Linked DNA regions of Saccharomyces cerevisiae S288C. The gene in region 4 interacts genetically with the main gene of each other region. Each region holds a gene or a part of one and is shown on either strand. Other genes may lie near its edges. The genes, in order: RGT1, JID1, TUS1 and PET122.

Region 1 (6,002 bases), on a different chromosome or scaffold from region 4:
AGGAAGCGCGTCAGGCTGTTCGAGAAGGGGCGGGGGAAGGGGATCAGGTTACAAGACGCTGTACAGGGATCTGTGTGAGAACAAACCGACACCAGAACTTTGGACTTTGCAAGCGCCGGAATTGAATCTGTAGCAATGGCAATGGCAATAGTGATGGCACCAGGTGTAACAGCAAGCCGGCGGTAGCAACGTGCGTAATAAGGACTTCTGCCCCTGAAAAAGTATGCCAAAAGTAGGAGAAAGAAAGACCCCTTTAGCTGTGAAAGAAGAAGGTGCTCCCCGCCCATTGTCTGCATGCGCCCCTGAGCTTGGCGACTCTCGAATACCGTGGAAGATGGTGGAGCACCAGAGTAAAAGGCCGTGCGCACTCTGACAAGGCAGTATTGTTACAGGTTAAAACAGCTAGTGTGTATATGTGTAAGTAAGTATTATTTATGTGTTTTACTTAAATTGGTCATTCATTGCATGGTAGTTCTTTACGCGAATTTCTGCCTGAGGAGAAGGGAGAACCTGACCTACAGGAGAAGGGAGCATAGTTACCTGTCAATACCAGCCTAACTCGGAATCGTCCAACAGCTTCCAGCCGATACTAACGAAATTTTCCAGGGCAACGTTCTCAAGCCTGGGTTCCTCTGCGGCTACTGGCGCCGTTGTCGGTTGTGTACCAGAAGTACGGCGTTCATCAAGCAATGTCTTCATGACTGATGACTCGCGGAGGCCTTGGCCCGACTTTGGCCACATGACGTCGTTTCTGGTCGTGGACGAAAGTCCTCCTGTCAGGGACATTATGGGCTTATTAAGCTCGTGCTCGAAGATCTTGAATGGCTTGATCATTGTCAGCACGCTGGTGATTTGAACTACTTCATTCATCGAGTTTGACAGCTTCATGACCAGGTCCTGCGACTTCTTGGTGTCCTGAGTATTCTGCGTTGTAGTTGCCGTCATCATAATGCTAATGAGTGATGTAGGCATCTGCTTGACCAGTTCAGTGATGTTGTAGACCTCGTGCAGGATAGCAATAGCAAAGGGGGAAATTATCCCCCGGCAAAGGTCTGAAAGGATAGTGCCAGTGTCTTGTTTCAGGCCTAGTAATTTCTTGTAAAAATCTGGATTCCCCTCCGATGGAGGTGCAGCGCTAAGGTTCCCAGCGACTGGAGACGAGCCCATAGCAGATGGGCCCTCTTGCACTGTCGGATTATTAGCGGGTGGGTTCGGTGGTCTATAATTAAAATCAATACTGTTCGTAGGATTCAGTCTTAATATCAACGTCAATACTTGCAAAATTATTGATATCAATGAGCACAGAGAGTCTGCTATTTTCGAACTCAAATCCAATGTCAAATCTGAATAGACTCCTGCTTCTGAATCGTATAATGATAATAAGCAATTGATGAAATTGTGTTTGCCAATTAATAGCTTGCAAAATAACTGTGCTACGGATAGAGGTTGAGTTTCCACATATTCCGATAAGAGTGAAGACGAGTTCGTAATATCGAACCCAGGCTTCCTATTGCCGTTCATTGATATTCTATTCCTGGTAAGCTCACTCATCAATTCACCCAATTTCAAGCTTTGCAAGACGCTTTTCAGTCTCAATTGGCTTTGTTCCAGGCACCATTTTGAGCCCAAATCATTAGAAAAAAATCTTTCTGTAGAACCTTGGATGGAAATGTTTAATAGCTTGGGACCACCGAATGCACAGCTTTGTAAAGAATCAAACACTGAAAGCAAAACGTATAATCTTTTAAACAACACTGAATAGTGACTAATGTTTTCGTCCATGGAATTTGGTGAATTGGATGGATTCATATGCCCAGCACTTTCAGATCCAATTTCAAATTCGGACGTTTTTGTATTCCCATTACCAGTGCTGACCTCTTCATCAACTGGAGGCTTCACATCATTTATATCCGGCTCCGGAAATAATAGAAGTTTGTATAATTTAAATTCGTTAAAAATTGTCACCGACATTCCAAGTACAAATGAGTTATCGTATCCAACAAATGCCAAAATGTAATTTAAAAGAATAAAAGTAGATAAATAAATGACTTTGATCTTCGGCGAAATTTGGTCGTTGTTTTCTCTGAATTTGGGATGAATATCCACGATTTTTTGGAAACATTCATTGAGGGCGGCAATAAAAACGCTTTGCACTTCCAAAGTATCCTGTACTTCATTATGTGAATCACGTCTTGTTTTTTCAGCATCATCCCTTGCCGTGGCTGTAGTGAACCCAGCTTTGTTGTTGTCATTACTTGGCGACAAAGCCACGCCAACAATATTATCGAAAAACTTGCCACCTGGCTTTTGTTTCAGAGCAACACGAACTAACAATTCCAATGAATTTCTAAACCACAAAATAACATATGAATTGACTTCGTGTATATTGGAAATTGGCTGTGTGTTAACTAACAATAAGTCACTGGTCAAGGTCGTTTTGTTTAAAGGTATGATCGGAAATCCTACATGTATGAACTCATAGTAGGTGTCTATTAGATCTACATCGGATATCTGTCCATACGCGATAGTTGATGAAGTGGTCATTGGGTGAGCAGAATCTTTCGATGTTATAGATATAGATGAATCTCTCTTTGGTTTTGTCTTCTTAGATACGTAACTTTTTCTGCGTTTTTTTGTACTTCTCTGTGGCGTTGATCCAGGGCTGGATGCTTCCAAAGCCGCTGGTGTAGTTACAGATTCTTGGGAATGTTGAGATGTATCCTTAGAAGAACCGCTATTATTGCTGCCATTATTGTTGTTAATTTCACCATTATTATTCTCATTACCATTCAGCCTGTCCGTGGATAATGTTACTGATACGGGGGCTGATTGTCGCCTTTTATTTCCATCCAACTCAGATGAAAATTGCGGTACCTGCTGTCCTTGAGGTCTTTGTGTTTGCTGTGCAACATTTACGGGGTTTGTAGATGTGCTAGTAAACATGGCAGGTGCACTGGGAGACATAGCCTCGCTGGCGACTGATCCTTGTCTAGAATGAAAACCATTAGCAGCGAACTGGCCAAAAGATGATATCGATGGGTTGTACGGTTGCTGCTGGGAAAATTGAGAATACGAGTATAGGTTCTGTCCTTGTTGCAACTTTTGTTGGTGTGCTTGTGGCTGCGATTGTTGCTGAGGTGGGGGAAGCTGAGGCTGGCCACCTAGTAAAAGAGAATTTGAAGTATTTCGTAGCAAAGAAGGTATGGAACTTGATCTTCTTGTCTGTTCCCCATTATGATCATCAGTAGGAGCTAGTAAACCAGAAGTTCTTATAAAGGACCAATAACCACCACTACCAGAGGCACTGCCTGAGCCGGTGACACTTCCGTTTGCATTTCCAGAATCATTAGTATGTTTATTCGTTATGGGAGACTGTTGAACGGTGTTATAAGACAACTGCTCGTTGGGATTTAATGTTCTTACCGATATATCACTTTGCAAAGAATCGATAGATCCTTTTCTTTGGTGTTGAAACTCATGGTAGGGCACTTTCCAAAACTGCTGTTGGCCAATATTACCCGCGGGCATAGTTGATTGTATCGCTGGATTTTGGAAACTAGGAGGAATGCCACCAGCCTGGGGAATGTACTGTGTCAGTGGGGGCAATAAAACTGAATTAGATCTCGAAGGGGTACTTGGAACTGTGTTACTGTTTATACCGTTGTCGCCGCTATTGCCCGTATTATTATTCAGGGTATTGTTACTATTATCAAACGTATTATACGACCTTGAGTTATTGTGGTCTTGTATTTCGTTAGTCCTTGGATGGCTGGTGCTCCTCGTATAGCCTTTCGAGGGTCCCCTTTTCAAAGGAACCCTATCAAAACTACAACGGTCTCCATTCCTTTGGCAGTTTGAGCAGACCCCCTTTTCATCTTTGTAGTCACATTTAATCTTCTTTTTACGACACTGATCGCAGGCCCGGGAGGCCTTTGTTCTTTTCTTTATTGCGTGACTTGCTGCTGCTGCGGAGTCCATATCGTCGGGACTATTGGATGTACCACCGTTCTTGGTGGAGTCACTGGAGTTAGTCGAAACAGTGTTCAGCTCGTTCATAATTTGAAATATATTGGAGTTTGAGAGAAGAGTACAGCTTCTTGACAAATGTGAGAATCGAAGAAGCGTGTTATTATTGCACCAATGAAAATTGCGGGAACGGTTCTGCACAATATAGTACAAGGGAGAGGCGATTTCCAACGAAGTCTATGGTGAAAGAGCAGAATATGTTGGATGGACAATACTCCAGTCTCAAAACTCCAAGCACGGTTCCTAACTGATGTGTTCTTATTTTGACTTTTTTTATTTTTTGAATTTTTACTAGTTGCTACTATTTTTTTTTCCTGTTTTTCCTTAAAAGGTCCCTTCCCATAATCGTCTTGCTTAGTTAGCTACATGAAAAAAAAGGAAAAAACTAAAGGAAAATGCACAAAGCAGCGACATATTTTATGAATCCAATACCTGCCATTTCAAGAAGCTCGGATTATTGGTGAGGTGACGTAGCTTTTGTTTGATGTACTGTTGATTATTCGTCTCTGGTGCTCATAAGCCACGTCACAGAAAACGATAAACGATGTTAGCGCACATGCTACATGACTTGCCAATCGTGGTAAAGCTTCTGATGAAAGAACCAACTTGCGGAAGCGTGCCCATAAAATGGTCGTGCGGCTTAACGAGCAATCACACCGAATAAAGTGATCCCGTAAAATGATATTCTACTCGGATGATCCGTTCCCTAGGAAGCGTAAGACAAGTAACTACAAATGTTGTCGCATGTATATTCTATTACTCAGAGCGTTTGACAAAAAAATCTTCTCCCTTTCATTAAAAACGAATCGAAGAGCTGGGTTTATAGCATTGTCACTAAGGACGTGGTCTCATCATAAACAAATAGAATATACATGTTATGTTACATAGGAAAGACCGAAAAAGCCAGAGAAAGCTAATAAGGTTAGCACTGATGCAGCGCGCAACCTTACGTTATCTGGCTTCGTTGTTCATCCTTGAACAAAGGGAATTCCTCACTTCTGGTCTTCCTGCGTCTCTTCTCATAAACAAGTACACATGAAAAGTCTATGGACCAATTTTCTCTTCCATTTTATAGTCGATGAACAGAAACTTTTCGCTTGTTTCGGTTTGATATAAATCATCTTATCACCGAAAAAAAAAAAACTCCAGCGAGCGGCTAAATAAATACAAAACGAAAAAGTTAGGTCTAGAGTATAGCATAGCTTTGGTGACTACAGTTATAAACAGGTAAAAGCACGCACAAATAAATGAAAAGAAACGTGCAACGCATTTATTTATTTATTTATTTATATTCATATTTATATTCATATTCATATTCACATCGCATTGAACAGAAGTGCATATGGTTCATAATTTCTTTCTTTTCGCTTGTAAACATTTCGTGACTGCCCTCGAAGAAACTATTTGTCTCATCACCTAATCAAATCTGCTGGAGGTAGCGTTATTTTGTTGGAGAGGGAGACACTGGCCCGTGGCCTTGGCTATGGTTATTTACATTATCGTGTCCTTCTTCATCATCAGTAAAATTCAAATTGAGGTCATCCTCGTCTATGCCACGCTCACCAGTGATGATACTTGCGTCATCTTGATCGTCAAACGATTGCAAATCGCCCAAGTCAAAGTCCGCGACATTTTCTGGGTCTGTGGGTAGTTGTTGGGATGCGGCTAGCATGTATGAAGTATCTGTTGGTCTCCATAAGAACGCGATGGTAACGAAAACAATGAAATACACTAACGTAGGCCAGAAATCAGTAACGAAGAACCTTGACCTCCAGTTCTTCTCAATCATATCAATAGTGTTCATGCCAACGTAAATAAATGACGAAACTATACTACCAGCTAGTACACTCAAAAAGGACGCATAAATGATGTATAGTAGCTTCTTGTACATGTTCAATTTTACGATCTGCCTTTGCTCTTTCAAATAGATAACTGTTTTTGTCATGGATCTAATAATCATGTAGTAAAATATGATT
Region 2 (3,287 bases), on a different chromosome or scaffold from region 4:
CGGAATTTCTAAACCTGGATGGTTTGCCTCATAAACTGAAGGACATGTGGCGAAATGCGACCTCTCAATAAATTTGAAGATGATCGAATCCTCCATTCTAACTAATTCATCTCTAATATTTTGTAGATTTAAAACAGTTTCTGGTTTTGTGAAATCCATATCTTATACCAATTTTATGCAGGATGCTGAGTGCTATTTGTTAGCAAAACGGAATCGATGTTTCAACTTTTCAATACTTTTTTTCTTCTTTTCTTCGAACTTCGAAGATTATAGAGATCCATTGAAAATTTACGATAAAGGAAATGCAACACGAAGTTTGAAAAAAAGTTGATATTGAAAAAAAAAAAAAAAGAGAACCAAAAAAAAATTAAAAAACGTGAAAACGATGGTTTAACAACTTTTTTCGAATTTGGTATACGTGGAAAAACGAATGTATAGATGCATTTTTAAAGAATATATATAAAATTTAGTAATTGTATTCCGCGAGCGGCGCAATAGGTGATTTCATTTAGCTGCTTTCAGTTTGCGTATCATTTCTTCATTGATCTTGGCTTCTCTATCTAAATCCTCTTTCGACTTGTAAAGTCCCCAAGTTCTAAACCATAAGAACCGCCTCAATCTGGAAAATTTGTCAGTATCAAGACCATAATTCGTGTATGACTGAATCAAATGTAATCCACTTTCGTCATGAGTAAATTCGGCCTTGCTCAGAGACTCCTGGATTTTGGCTAACAACGCAGTCCCTTCGATGCATATAGCTAGGCCACAAATTATGCCAATAACGGTCCATGGGTTGATGTTTTCTTGAATTCTTTCGTTTTTCATGCTATTTGCGTCTTCCCAAGTCCCAGCGTTCCAGTATTCATACTGCGCGTTAGAGTGGTAGCCATAAGAGCCGGCATATTGGTAATTTTCAGTATTAACGTTAGAACGTGGTGAATACGATGTGGTCCAGCCTTGCCTCGTTGTGTCATATACGATCTTTTTCTTTGGGTCACAAAGAATATCATATGCTTGAGAGATGACTTTAAATCTATGTAGTTTTTCGCTTGATGTTAGCAGCAGCGGTGATTTACTATCACTGTTGGTAACCTTTTCTGAGCTAAATATTTGAATGTTATCGGAATGGTCAGGGTGGTACAATTTTACATAACGATGATATTTTTTTTTTAACGACTTCTTGTCCAGTTTAGGATTTCCAGATCCGGCCTTTGGAATGCCAAAAATATCATAGGGAGTTGGATCTGCCAACTCAGGCCATTGTTCATCCCTTATCGTAAGTTTTCTATTGCCATTTTTATCGTTCGCTGTAGCATACTTAGCTATAAAAGTGATTTGTGGGGGACACTTTTCTACACATGATAAGTGCCACTTGAATAAAAATGGGTATACGAACTTATGGTGTAGCATAACAAATATATTGCAAGTAGTGACCTATGGTGTGTAGATATACGTACAGTTAGTTACGAGCCTAAAGACACAACGTGTTTGTTAATTATACTGTCGCTGTAATATCTTCTCTTCCATTATCACCGGTCATTCCTTGCAGGGGCGGTAGTACCCGGAGACCCTGAACTTTTCTTTTTTTTTTTGCGAAATTAAAAAGTTCATTTTCAATTCGACAATGAGATCTACAAGCCATTGTTTTATGTTGATGAGAGCCAGCTTAAAGAGTTAAAAATTTCATAGCTAATGGTGACAGGGGGAATGGCAAGCAAGTGGGATCAGAAGGGTATGGACATTGCCTATGAGGAGGCGGCCTTAGGTTACAAAGAGGGTGGTGTTCCTATTGGCGGATGTCTTATCAATAACAAAGACGGAAGTGTTCTCGGTCGTGGTCACAACATGAGATTTCAAAAGGGATCCGCCACACTACATGGTGAGATCTCCACTTTGGAAAACTGTGGGAGATTAGAGGGCAAAGTGTACAAAGATACCACTTTGTATACGACGCTGTCTCCATGCGACATGTGTACAGGTGCCATCATCATGTATGGTATTCCACGCTGTGTTGTCGGTGAGAACGTTAATTTCAAAAGTAAGGGCGAGAAATATTTACAAACTAGAGGTCACGAGGTTGTTGTTGTTGACGATGAGAGGTGTAAAAAGATCATGAAACAATTTATCGATGAAAGACCTCAGGATTGGTTTGAAGATATTGGTGAGTAGAGCACGCAGCACGCTGTATTTACGTATTTAATTTTATATATTTGTGCATACACTACTAGGGAAGACTTGAAAAAAACCTAGGAAATGAAAAAACGACACAGGAAGTCCCGTATTTACTATTTTTTCCTTCCTTTTGATGGGGCAGGGCGGAAATAGAGGATAGGATAAGCCTACTGCTTAGCTGTTTCCGTCTCTACTTCGGTAGTTGTCTCAATTGTCGTTTCAGTATTACCTTTAGAGCCGCTAGACGATGGTTGAGCTATTTGTTGAGGGAAAACTAAGTTCATGTAACACACGCATAACCCGATTAAACTCATGAATAGCTTGATTGCAGGAGGCTGGTCCATTGGAGATGGTGCCTTATTTTCCTTATAGGCAACGATGATGTCTTCGTCGGTGTTCAGGTAGTAGTGTACACTCTGAATCAGGGAGAACCAGGCAATGAACTTGTTCCTCAAGAAAATAGCGGCCATAGGCATGGATTGGTTAACCACACCAGATATGCTTGGTGTGGCAGAATATAGTCCTTTTGGTGGCGCAATTTTCTTGTACCTGTGGTAGAAAGGGAGCGGTTGAACTGTTAGTATATATTGGCAATATCAGCAAATTTGAAAGAAAATTGTCGGTGAAAAACATACGAAACACAAAGGTCGGGCCTTGCAACGTTATTCAAAGTCATTGTTTAGTTGAGGAGGTAGCAGCGGAGTATATGTATTCCTTTTTTTTGCCTATGGATGTTGTACCATGCCCATTCTGCTCAAGCTTTTGTTAAAATTATTTTTCAGTATTTTTTCTTCCATGTTGCGCGTTACGAGAACAGAAGCGACAGATAACCGCAATCATACAACTAGCGCTACTGCGGGGTGTAAAAAGCACAAGAACTAAGCCAAGATCACAACAGTTATCGATAAAATAGCAGTGTTTGCATGGCCATTGAGAAGGACAACATTGGCGTGCGCGCCAATGTTGTCTCACCATGTAGCTCCAAACGAGTTGTAAGAGACGGACCGCTCACGCTTCCGAAGCGGTCAGAAAACGCTTCCCAGTATGCAGTTGACCTACATTCAACCTGCAAATATTGCTTTGCTTCAAGAAATGATTACACAGACGTCTATTTT
Region 3 (6,480 bases), on a different chromosome or scaffold from region 4:
TTACTTCCTCCAGTAATAAGAACTATGCCATTCTTAAATTCACGAAGGCTCTTCCAGGCGACCTGTCCCGACCGCTTTATATAGGAATTAGCAATGAGGAATGCATTTATCAGTAGTGTATAGATTGTTAGACAAATGCTTATCGAGTCGCTTAGAGACCTAGGTTAGTTCGTCATGTTAGTATAAAAAACGCTGTTTCTAACCTCATGCCTATTTTCTACTTTACATACCATCTCAATACAAGAGCTACCAGAAGTGGATAGCGCAGCAGTGGCAGAACTACCCAACGACACAAACAGTCTATATTCATCACCAGAACTTCACCTTTTCCTCACAGCCGTATTATCACATATTAATGTATCTGTTCTACTGATTTTAAAGAGCTACTTGTTATACGGCTAAATGCACTTCCGAGGGTAACCTGTTATTCAGGATTATATGAACAGAGAGAATAATGATGTGAGTTACTGCAAATAGCATAATTACTGGACTATATTCTTGTTGGCTTATATTATTACAACGATATTTACCATTAAAAGTGTCTATATCTTATATTATTGATGATCTGCCATTGCTACAGGATTGCACGCGACTAATAATTGTCTATTAAGTATATTTGGATGACTTAACACAAGAATTGTTTTCTCTCTCCTTTCTGAACTAGCCAGCTTTATCTTCTTTCCTTTTATGATCTGGACGGGAACCAATTCGCCTAGGTTCTGCTCAACATTTTTTAAGTCGTAAATCTGTATCAAATTGTCGCCAACGAGAATCAAATGATTACCATGGAAGCTCGCGCCGGTACAACAAAAATCAAGTAAGAGAATATCCTTTCTCCAATCAGACATCTCACCGTAGCAGTTTATTTTCACTACGGCTTCATCATAAACCAAGGCAAAAAAACTAGATTGTGATATTTGAAAAAAATTGACCGGTATAGCTTTGCAAGTGGCGATATCCTTTTTTGCTTCTTCAGTGAGAGATTCTATGGAGGGGCGTTTCTTGGAGTCTGTAGCACTTTTGAACGGTAAGCTATTCAAATGTGGATGCCTCAAGTGTGCCATCATATCTTTATCATTCAAAAAAGATGGTAAGACTATTCCGTTATCCTCGAATGAATCTTGATAAAGTATGACTGTTTTCTTTGTACACACAGCAAAACTTTTCCTGAATATGGCAATATCCTCAATTTCGTTATTCAGAATGTTATTACTTGAACTTGGGAGCTTATACTCTTTGTAAAATTTGAAATATTTTACTTGGTTTGTCAATTGATCAAATTCTGGTGTTAATATAACTATCTTCCCCTTTCTTTCAAAAAATAAATGTTTTGAGTTACCAAAATCATCAGCAATTTTGAAGAATCTCACCTTATCTCTGATTACTGTTCCCACAATGCAGTTTTCATCTAGAGTGTTTCCTTGCGCTAGGTAACGGCTCACTACCGTTGAGATATTAAAATAGCACAACTTTCTGTTATCCAATACAAACAAGAGCCCCAACTTAACATTGGCTTCCATTCTTTTGACGTCGTTTAATTCTAATATTTTAACGAAACCACTACCATAATCGTCTCTATATTTCACATAGATACCGTCTGTTGTAGCCACAAATAGGTAAATTCTGCCCTCGAATTTAACATCTTCACAACAAAGAATCCGTGTTGTCTTACTCCATGAACATGAATCTTTGTTTGCTTTTTGAGCGTAAGCTTTGAGTGCTACATCAATTTCTGATCCTTCCGGAGCTACAGGTAGATTCACCGGTGCATCCTTGTCGAAGTATGCGAACTCAGAGCTCAACACTGTAAATTCAAAGGCATTTAAATCATGATTTTCTGCATTTCTTTTAAAAGATTCCATGATAGCATCAATCCATTGGTTGAGTACTTCTGCACTTTCTGTAAAAAATTTGAACGATTCACCTGTGGCTGTATTTCTGATCTTAAATGAGAACTCGTCTGTGTTTGGATTCGCGTTAGAAATTTCAGTATTACTAGTCTTTCTATCTCCATACGCTGTTGACATGTGATTTCCAGAACTTTTAAGCAGAGGTCTCATGGAGTTAATCGGTGTCGAAAAATTATGCATTGGGGATTTATGTTCTTTCTGAGAGTAGTTTCTCAGAGGCTGTTTACTTGTTCCTGGAATTTTCCTTTTCTCGAGACTTAAATAATCTATTGGGATAGGTCTTTCAATAAGCTTATATTTTTGAGTTTCTCCTTTACTTATTTCCTCTGTAATCAGTAAGCAATTGTCCAATAATGCGATATACACTGGGGTTGGGTCCAGCCATAAATCCCTCTTTTTATAAACAGTGCCAGATAGTACTAACTTCCTTTCCGGATAAGTTAAACCAAGAGCTAGTTTATCCTGAATTGCATCATCGTCATTTGCGTTAGTACTACCACCGACGTTCACATAGCTTGTTGCATTACTACTATTAGTACTTAATACTAATTGTTTCGAAAACCTTACTAGTTTCCTATGGTCAATTGCTAATCCATGTACCTGATTAACTTCAAAGTTCAACTTTTCTACTTCCTTAATTACTATTTTCAGGTATTCATAATCCTCCATGGAAGGATCCGTGTTCTTCAAAATTGAGCGCAGAGTTACGGGCATGTTTTGTAAAGATTTGAAAAACCCCCCAAAGAATATAACATCATGATACATCTTCGATCTTGTAATTTCAACCGAGTTATCAATCTCCTTAAGCCATGTTACAAATTTCGTCTTGTTTTTCTTCTCCCACATTATGATTTCGTGTACCGTTGCCATAGCTTTCGCGTAATTCAAATATATATTCTTGGCTTCACCACACCATTTTGAATAGATTTTTCCAACGCCATCAATAAACTTACCTCTCGTTTTTAATTTCCAAAATATTGGCGTCAAAAGAAATTCGGTATGTAATTGTATTAGAGGTTCGAAGATATCAAATGCCAATGCCTTGAACTCAGGCTCATCTGGAAGTAGGGATTTGTCAAACCGTTTCCCATAGATTTCTACCGCGGCAGTAGCCATGTTTAAGGATCTTTCTTCTAAAATAATTAAGTCAAATATAAAGCTTTGTCTTTGTACTTCACGGGGATTAATTTCTGCTAAATCATCTGGAGTCAAGTGCCAGTATTCTGTCCAAAGTCCAACTGATTTATTTATGATTTCGGAAAGTTTTATTTCTTTTCTGAAGCCAGAGCTTTGGCCATGTGTGCAAACGTTGGAATAACAAATCAGGGAGTTTGTAGATCCATAAGTATTATCGATGAATGAATAGCACGGTAGTAGTTCGGTGAAAACACCAGTAATATCCAGCCCTCCCACAACTACGGCTACCTCTTCATCGTTAATGATATCGAATCTTACTGCTTTCTGGGAAATAAACGAAGCCATAATATTATCCACATTTGAGTCTATCGTATCTTGATCGAAATTTGTAGGCATTTGAAACTCTAAAAGTAATTGAACAATTTGGAAAAGATCGATTTTCGTGAAGACACATTCATTAAACCATTCAAAATAAACTTTCAAAATCCACTCATAAATAGCAGAAAGTTTGTAAACATTATCACATTGATAAAGCTTGTGCTCATCGATAGATTGAATTGAAAATGGTTGTGTCGGTGCAGTAATGCTTGGTGCTAATTCTAATGGCTTGGCTCCTAGTAAAGAGTTAAAACTACTTTGCCTGGCATTTGAGTTATTAAAAGTATAATCTGAGTCAGAATAAACACTTTCTAGGGCTTCTGATACTCGGCTATTCCCACTTACGTTTCTAGATGTTGATAGAGGCGGTGGTGGTTTCGTAAAAAATTCTGAGTCTTCATCATCAAAAGGAGATAGCAGAAGAGTAGTAGTGAAAGGAATTGGGGGTAAAGCTTTTTCTCTTTCATGACACCGTAGATCTGATTCATCAGAGAAGTGAGCCTGCTGTTTGCTACTATCTCTTGGAGATTTAGGGGAATTTGGACTAAATCCGTTCGCAAATGGTGATTTTAAGATCCTGGAATGGTTAGATATGTATTCCATGTGATGTCGTTCCTCTGAGTTTCCTATAAAGGATAGTTTATTAGGTGATCTTTCCCGGGACTGAGAACTGGGAGATACCATGGGTGAGTCTATCCGTATTGATTCAGTGGAATACAAAAGGGGTGGCGGTGGTGGTGGTCGTCTTTCTTTGACGTACTTTGTCGATTTGGGTGTGGATTCTGAAGAGCTAGTACCGTTTCCCCTTGCACTATGTTTTGATGTAAAGGTAAAAGCCTGAGGGACCGGGCTTTGGAATTGCTGGGTGTCACTGATTGGTGTCCAGCCAATTGAGATATTATCTGTTCCGTTATCAGAATCATCCAAAAAGGAGTTCCTCGTATTCAATGGTGGCAGTTTGGGCAATTCGATGCTCTTTCGTTGGCTTTCTTGACGGCTTACTCGTTTTTCTGGTGTTCGTTCAAAAGGGGAACTTCTATTATATCGATACATGTTAACTTGCTGCACTCAATAAGTTTTTTGTTTTAATGTTTATATTCGAAGTAGTATCAATTAATTGTTCATAACAGTGGCTGGAGGGGGTATACAGAACCACTAAAACCTCCAGAAATAATAGTTGAATAAAATATTGATGCAAGAAATGGATTTTGAACAGTTATATTGCGTACTGATCATCCTCTCTAGGGGTTGTTTACCTAAACGATGTGTTAACGTTTTCTCTAAATGATTTATATTGCGGCCTATGCGACGAGTCAGTATGAACAATAGAAAATCTTAAGAAGCCGTAAGCTAAAAACATCAAATGATTATAGCGCACCAACTGCTCGACTGGAAGCAGCGAAATTACGTATGTATGACCGAAGCTCAGTTAATTTTCTCTTAAGTAAAGACACAACCTTTAAATGTTGACTAACTGTGTTTGAGTAGGGGAAAAGTCCCCAAAAGTTGACGCATTTCCTTTGCATGACTGGTTTTGGAAAAGATTTCGACCTAACTCCCCAAAAAATTACTGTGAACACCTATCTGTGTAAATTTACGGTTGTTTTAGTCAAAATAGCTGTTATAACGTTTATCATAGTCCACTAAAACAGTATTTGGACACCGAACAAACTGTTTTCGATTAGGAGATTAATCGCATCTATTAAATAGCTTGATGTTTTTATTATACAATCTTCAACATTAGTTGTGATATGGAAGTTTAAAATACTGGCTAGAGACACTCGTTAGGGTTAAGGTAAATCGATAGCGGTAGTACATTATGGCATACATACCAAGATCGGGTAAAGCCGTTCCATAGTTAGATGCCTACTACTAAATGACGGTCTGAAATGGGAATTATATACGATAAATATCACAAATTGAGGAGATGGAATATAAGGATTAGCTGCTAATTATATGACAGGTTTATTGCGACGTTACTATATTACAACAGATGGCGGTTTTAGGGTAGTACCGCTTGCTTAATCGAATCAGATCAAATCAGAAGAAAAAGCAGGATCAGGCTTGAAGTACACGCTCAATGAACAAAAGCGAAAATAACCTTTTGTTTAGAGGTGCTTGTCATATCGAAATACTATATTAACTTTAAAATATTCCGCGCTACGTTGGGTGAATTAGAACTGACCAGGAGCATTTCCCTAATAAACTAAATTAGCGTGGCCACACTTTCAATCTTCGTGTGAACCTGTTGGAATAAAAATCAACTATCATCTACTAACTAGTATTTACGTTACTAGTATATTATCATATACGGTGTTAGAAGATGACGCAAATGATGAGAAATAGTCATCTAAATTAGTGGAAGCTGAAACGCAAGGATTGATAATGTAATAGGATCAATGAATATTAACATATAAAACGATGATAATAATATTTATAGAATTGTGTAGAATTGCAGATTCCCTTTTATGGATTCCTAAATCCTTGAGGAGAACTTCTAGTATATCTACATACCTAATATTATAGCCTTAATCACAATGGAATCCCAACAATTACATCAAAATCCACATTCTCTACATGGTAGCGCCTATGCTTCGGTTACTTCTAAGGAAGTCCCATCAAATCAAGATCCGTTAGCCGTTTCAGCTTCCAATTTACCGGAATTTGATAGAGATTCCACTAAGGTTAATTCTCAAGAAGAGACAACACCTGGGACATCAGCTGTTCCAGAGAACCATCATCATGTCTCTCCTCAACCTGCTTCAGTACCACCTCCACAGAATGGACAGTACCAACAGCACGGCATGATGACCCCAAACAAAGCTATGGCTTCTAACTGGGCACATTACCAACAACCATCTATGATGACGTGTTCACATTATCAAACGTCACCTGCGTATTATCAACCGGACCCACACTATCCGCTGCCACAGTATATCCCACCGCTGAGTACTTCCTCACCTGATCCAATCGATTCACAGGATCAACACTCTGAAGTACCTCAAGCTAAGACAAAGGTGAGAAATAATGTCTTACCACCACACACTTTAACATC
Region 4 (3,256 bases):
AGGTGCAACAGATAATTCCTTTACATTAGAGGACGATAGATGGTTTGAAGTGAATGCGATCGCAGGCTGTTTTAAGATGTATTTAAGAGAGTTACCAGATTCTTTATTTTCTCATGCTATGGTGAACGACTTTACCGATTTGGCGATTAAGTATAAAGCACATGCAATGGTAAATGAAGAATACAAGAGAATGATGAATGAGTTACTCCAAAAGTTACCTACATGCTATTACCAAACTTTGAAAAGAATTGTATTTCATTTGAATAAAGTACATCAGCATGTTGTAAATAATAAAATGGACGCATCAAACTTGGCTATTGTATTTTCCATGAGTTTTATAAACCAAGAAGACTTAGCCAACAGCATGGGGTCCAGATTAGGTGCAGTTCAGACAATCCTGCAAGATTTTATTAAGAATCCAAATGATTATTTCAAGCAATAAACAATTTTCGTGGTAAATGTATACAATCCACTGCTGAGAGAGAAAAAATTTGGTCCCGCCTATCGAGGGTTTGAGTTTTATATTTTTATATTTACAGAGAGATATAGAGCCTTTATTCATTTTTTGTTATTAATGAAGTTTGATTTGTGAACAATTTTGATTTTGGAATTCTGCCTCTTCTCCTTGAAGCTTTCTTGTAACTTCTTCTCATTATCTTGCATCAATTGCCTTCTTTCCGCCTGATCTCTTGCCTTTTGAATGTTATGTTTTAATGATTGGAAGATGCCCATGTTCTCTGTGGGGGAAGCGCCAGCGATAGGAGTCCTTGGTTTAGCTACTTCTGTTATCTTCAGTTTCGAACGAACCCATTTGTTTCTCAAAATCATTGTCTGTAGGACGGAGAAGGCACCATTAAAGGCAAAGTAGAGGACCACAGCGGACGATAAGTTCATTGTGGCCGGTATAGAAATGATCGGTAGAATAGTGAAAAGACGCTTCATGGGAGAACTGAATTGTTGAGCACCAGTCTCACCCCCCAGCCTTGTAAATGAGATGAACACAGCGGCAGTGATTACTTGCAAACCTAAGTAAGGGTCTGCTTGAGTCAAGTCTGTAAACCAAGCGACACCTTGATTAGCGAACCCATCTACTGGGTAGTTAGCCATGTGTCTCAATGCGTTGAAAAACCCAAGGGCGATTGGAATTTGTAGCATGGGTGCGGCCAGCCATCTGTTCTTAATGCCGTGCGAGGAGAGCAGTTTTTTCCTTTGCATGGCGACTAGCTGACCTTGTTGCAAATCTGTAGTGGACATTAGCTTATTATTCAAGGCGTCCAGCTCGGGCTTGATATGGGAATTTCTAGCAACAGTATCAGAGGACTTGACATAGAGGGGAAACATCAGGCATCGAATGAGGATGGTGGTGGCCGCGATAGTTCCCCACCAAGGCAACCCAGAGTAAACATGAACGGCCTCCAAGACGTGTTGGATAATGTCCGAGGGCCAGTACCAGGTTTGGGCCAGGCCAATGCTATTTAAGTACCCTATATGGGAGGACAACTCGCCCACTGTTTGGGTCGTGTTAGCGATAAGGTCCGAAGTAGAAGCGGAAAGAGAAGGAGCTGAAGAGGTTAATTCATCGATGGAAGGCAACTGGGTTTGGATTTCCGAGACATCGTTGGCATTTGGGCCCGTCGAATTAAATCTTTTGGCCTGAAAAGAGATCCATGACGGATGGGGCCGGGGCAATACTATGGTTCGAGCGGTGGCCAGTCTGGAAGAGGCAGCAAACCTTGACGTGACGAGTCGAGAGGTGAGTTTGAACATCGTCGGGGAGGTTATTCTGTGGCTCCGCTTGTACGTGAACAGATACGTATAGAGGGCGAGCCACTGGTTAAATTTTTCATGGCTCGGATTACTTCCGTACTGCTGGCTAAAATCGAAATCTCGGCCTGCTGAGAGTGTTTTGAGCAATCAAGGGAACATCTGAACGTGGAAGAGCAGACGAGGCATTAGCTCGAACATAAGAACGGAACACGTCATGTTGACTATCACGAAAAGACTGGTGACCACCGATGTGCGGTCGCGAATACTGTTAAGCAGTTTAAACGGGAAAATGTCCGATGCACTGGCGCTGCTGCGTCAGCAGCAGCAGACCAGCGTGGATGTGGAGCTGCTGCACACGATGCTAGCGCGAGCCGCTGCGCTTGCCCATGCCGACACTATAGCATACATGTGGTATCAGCATGTGATGCCACGCCGGTTGCCAGTAGAGGGCCGCCTGCTATGTGAAATGGCTGGCGTAGCATTGTACCAGGACAGGCTCTTCTTACCCGCGCAGTTCCTCCAGCACTACCAGGCGATGAATCGCGATCGTCGCACCAGCCCAGAAGATGAACTGATTGAGTATGAGCTTAGACGGATTAAAGTCGAAGCGTTTGCGCGTGGCACAATGCACTCCACGGCGCTCAGGGAAAAGTGGAAGGTATTCTTGCAGGAGATGGATACGCTACCAGGGCAGCCGCCATTAAGGCTGCGCGACTTCCCGCAAATGACCAAGGCTATGGGCATAGCATTGATGCAGCAAGATGAGCAAGCAGCTGCCCTGGCGTTGTTTGGACGACAGCCCCTAGTGATAAAGAACGAATGGTCACTACCGCTACTACTGGCTGGTGTCCTTTGGCATGTTCCCGGCCCAGCGCAGGCGCGACGTGTGCTGGCGGAGTTCCGTCAAAGTTATCGCGGGCTGCCGCTGCTGGATGCCGAACTAGTGATAAAGAGAAGAGGATTTGAAATCAACACATAAATCTGGGTGGAGCATCGCTGTAACAAGGAACAACGCGTGCTAGCAAGCGGTAATGAAATACAAGGAAATCAATTTCTTCAAGGGCCATCCGAGCTCGAGGTTGCTGCCTCGAGAAGCAGTAATTCAAGCGACTGCGGCTATATTGGGGCCCGAGACCAGGGAGTACGATAACGACCCCTATAACAGGCATCCGCTGACGTACGGTTCGGACGAAGGTGCCCTGTGGGTGCGAGAGCAGATTTGTACGTTTCTGAATGATCAGCTGTTTAAGTTCGAAAATGGGGCTCGGAGCAGGACACGGGCAGACTATTTGAATCTGAATAGCGGCGCTTCGTATGGCATGCTGAACATCCTTCTGCAAACAACCTTGCCACATAACGGGTATACCAGGCAGGCGTTCATCATCACGCCAACATATTTCTTGATCAACAATTGCTTCACAGATGCGGGATTCAAGGGGAAAATGACCGCCATCAACGAGCAGGGCCACGACTCGATTGATTTCGAGTC

What was found.
Region 1: mutations in PET122 (region 4) and RGT1 together harm fitness more than expected from each alone (negative genetic interaction), as found in Saccharomyces cerevisiae (2 studies listed by BioGRID).
Region 2: mutations in PET122 (region 4) and JID1 together harm fitness more than expected from each alone (negative genetic interaction), as found in Saccharomyces cerevisiae (2 studies listed by BioGRID).
Region 3: mutations in PET122 (region 4) and TUS1 are lethal when combined (synthetic lethality), as found in Saccharomyces cerevisiae (2 studies listed by BioGRID, with this or other methods).

The regions. Positions count from the first base shown.
Region 1 is NC_001143.9:363,659-369,660, reverse strand, and holds RGT1 (Rgt1p), read right to left. Parts: upstream 4,057-6,002; coding exon 544-4,056; downstream 1-543. Other genes in the region: AIM26 (Aim26p), read right to left, coding at 1-296; PTM1 (Ptm1p), read right to left, coding at 5,468-6,002. UniProt on the Saccharomyces cerevisiae protein: Glucose-responsive transcription factor that regulates expression of several glucose transporter (HXT) genes in response to glucose.
Region 2 is NC_001148.4:675,473-678,759, forward strand, and holds JID1 (Jid1p), read right to left. Parts: upstream 1,411-3,287; coding exon 505-1,410; downstream 1-504. Other genes in the region: chorismate mutase ARO7, read right to left, coding at 1-159; FCY1 (cytosine deaminase), read left to right, coding at 1,693-2,169; YPR063C (uncharacterized protein), read right to left, coding at 2,340-2,721, 2,808-2,848. UniProt on the Saccharomyces cerevisiae protein: Probable chaperone.
Region 3 is NC_001144.5:980,892-987,371, reverse strand, and holds TUS1 (Rho family guanine nucleotide exchange factor TUS1), read right to left. Parts: upstream 4,479-6,480; coding exon 555-4,478; downstream 1-554. Other genes in the region: TDA5 (Tda5p), read right to left, coding at 1-159, 231-310. UniProt on the Saccharomyces cerevisiae protein: Guanine nucleotide-exchange factor (GEF) for RHO1 that stimulates the exchange of RHO1 GDP-bound form into GTP-bound form. Required for signaling of cell wall defects to RHO1.
Region 4 is NC_001137.3:473,531-476,786, reverse strand, and holds PET122 (Pet122p), read left to right. Parts: upstream 1-1,981; coding exon 1,982-2,746; downstream 2,747-3,256. Other genes in the region: GTPase-activating protein BEM2, read left to right, coding at 1-442; membrane insertase OXA1, read right to left, coding at 559-1,767; YER152C (2-aminoadipate transaminase), read left to right, coding at 2,799-3,256. UniProt on the Saccharomyces cerevisiae protein: Required for expression of the mitochondrial gene for cytochrome c oxidase subunit 3 (COX3). PET122 seems to work by directly interacting with the small ribosomal subunit to promote translation initiation on the COX3 mRNA.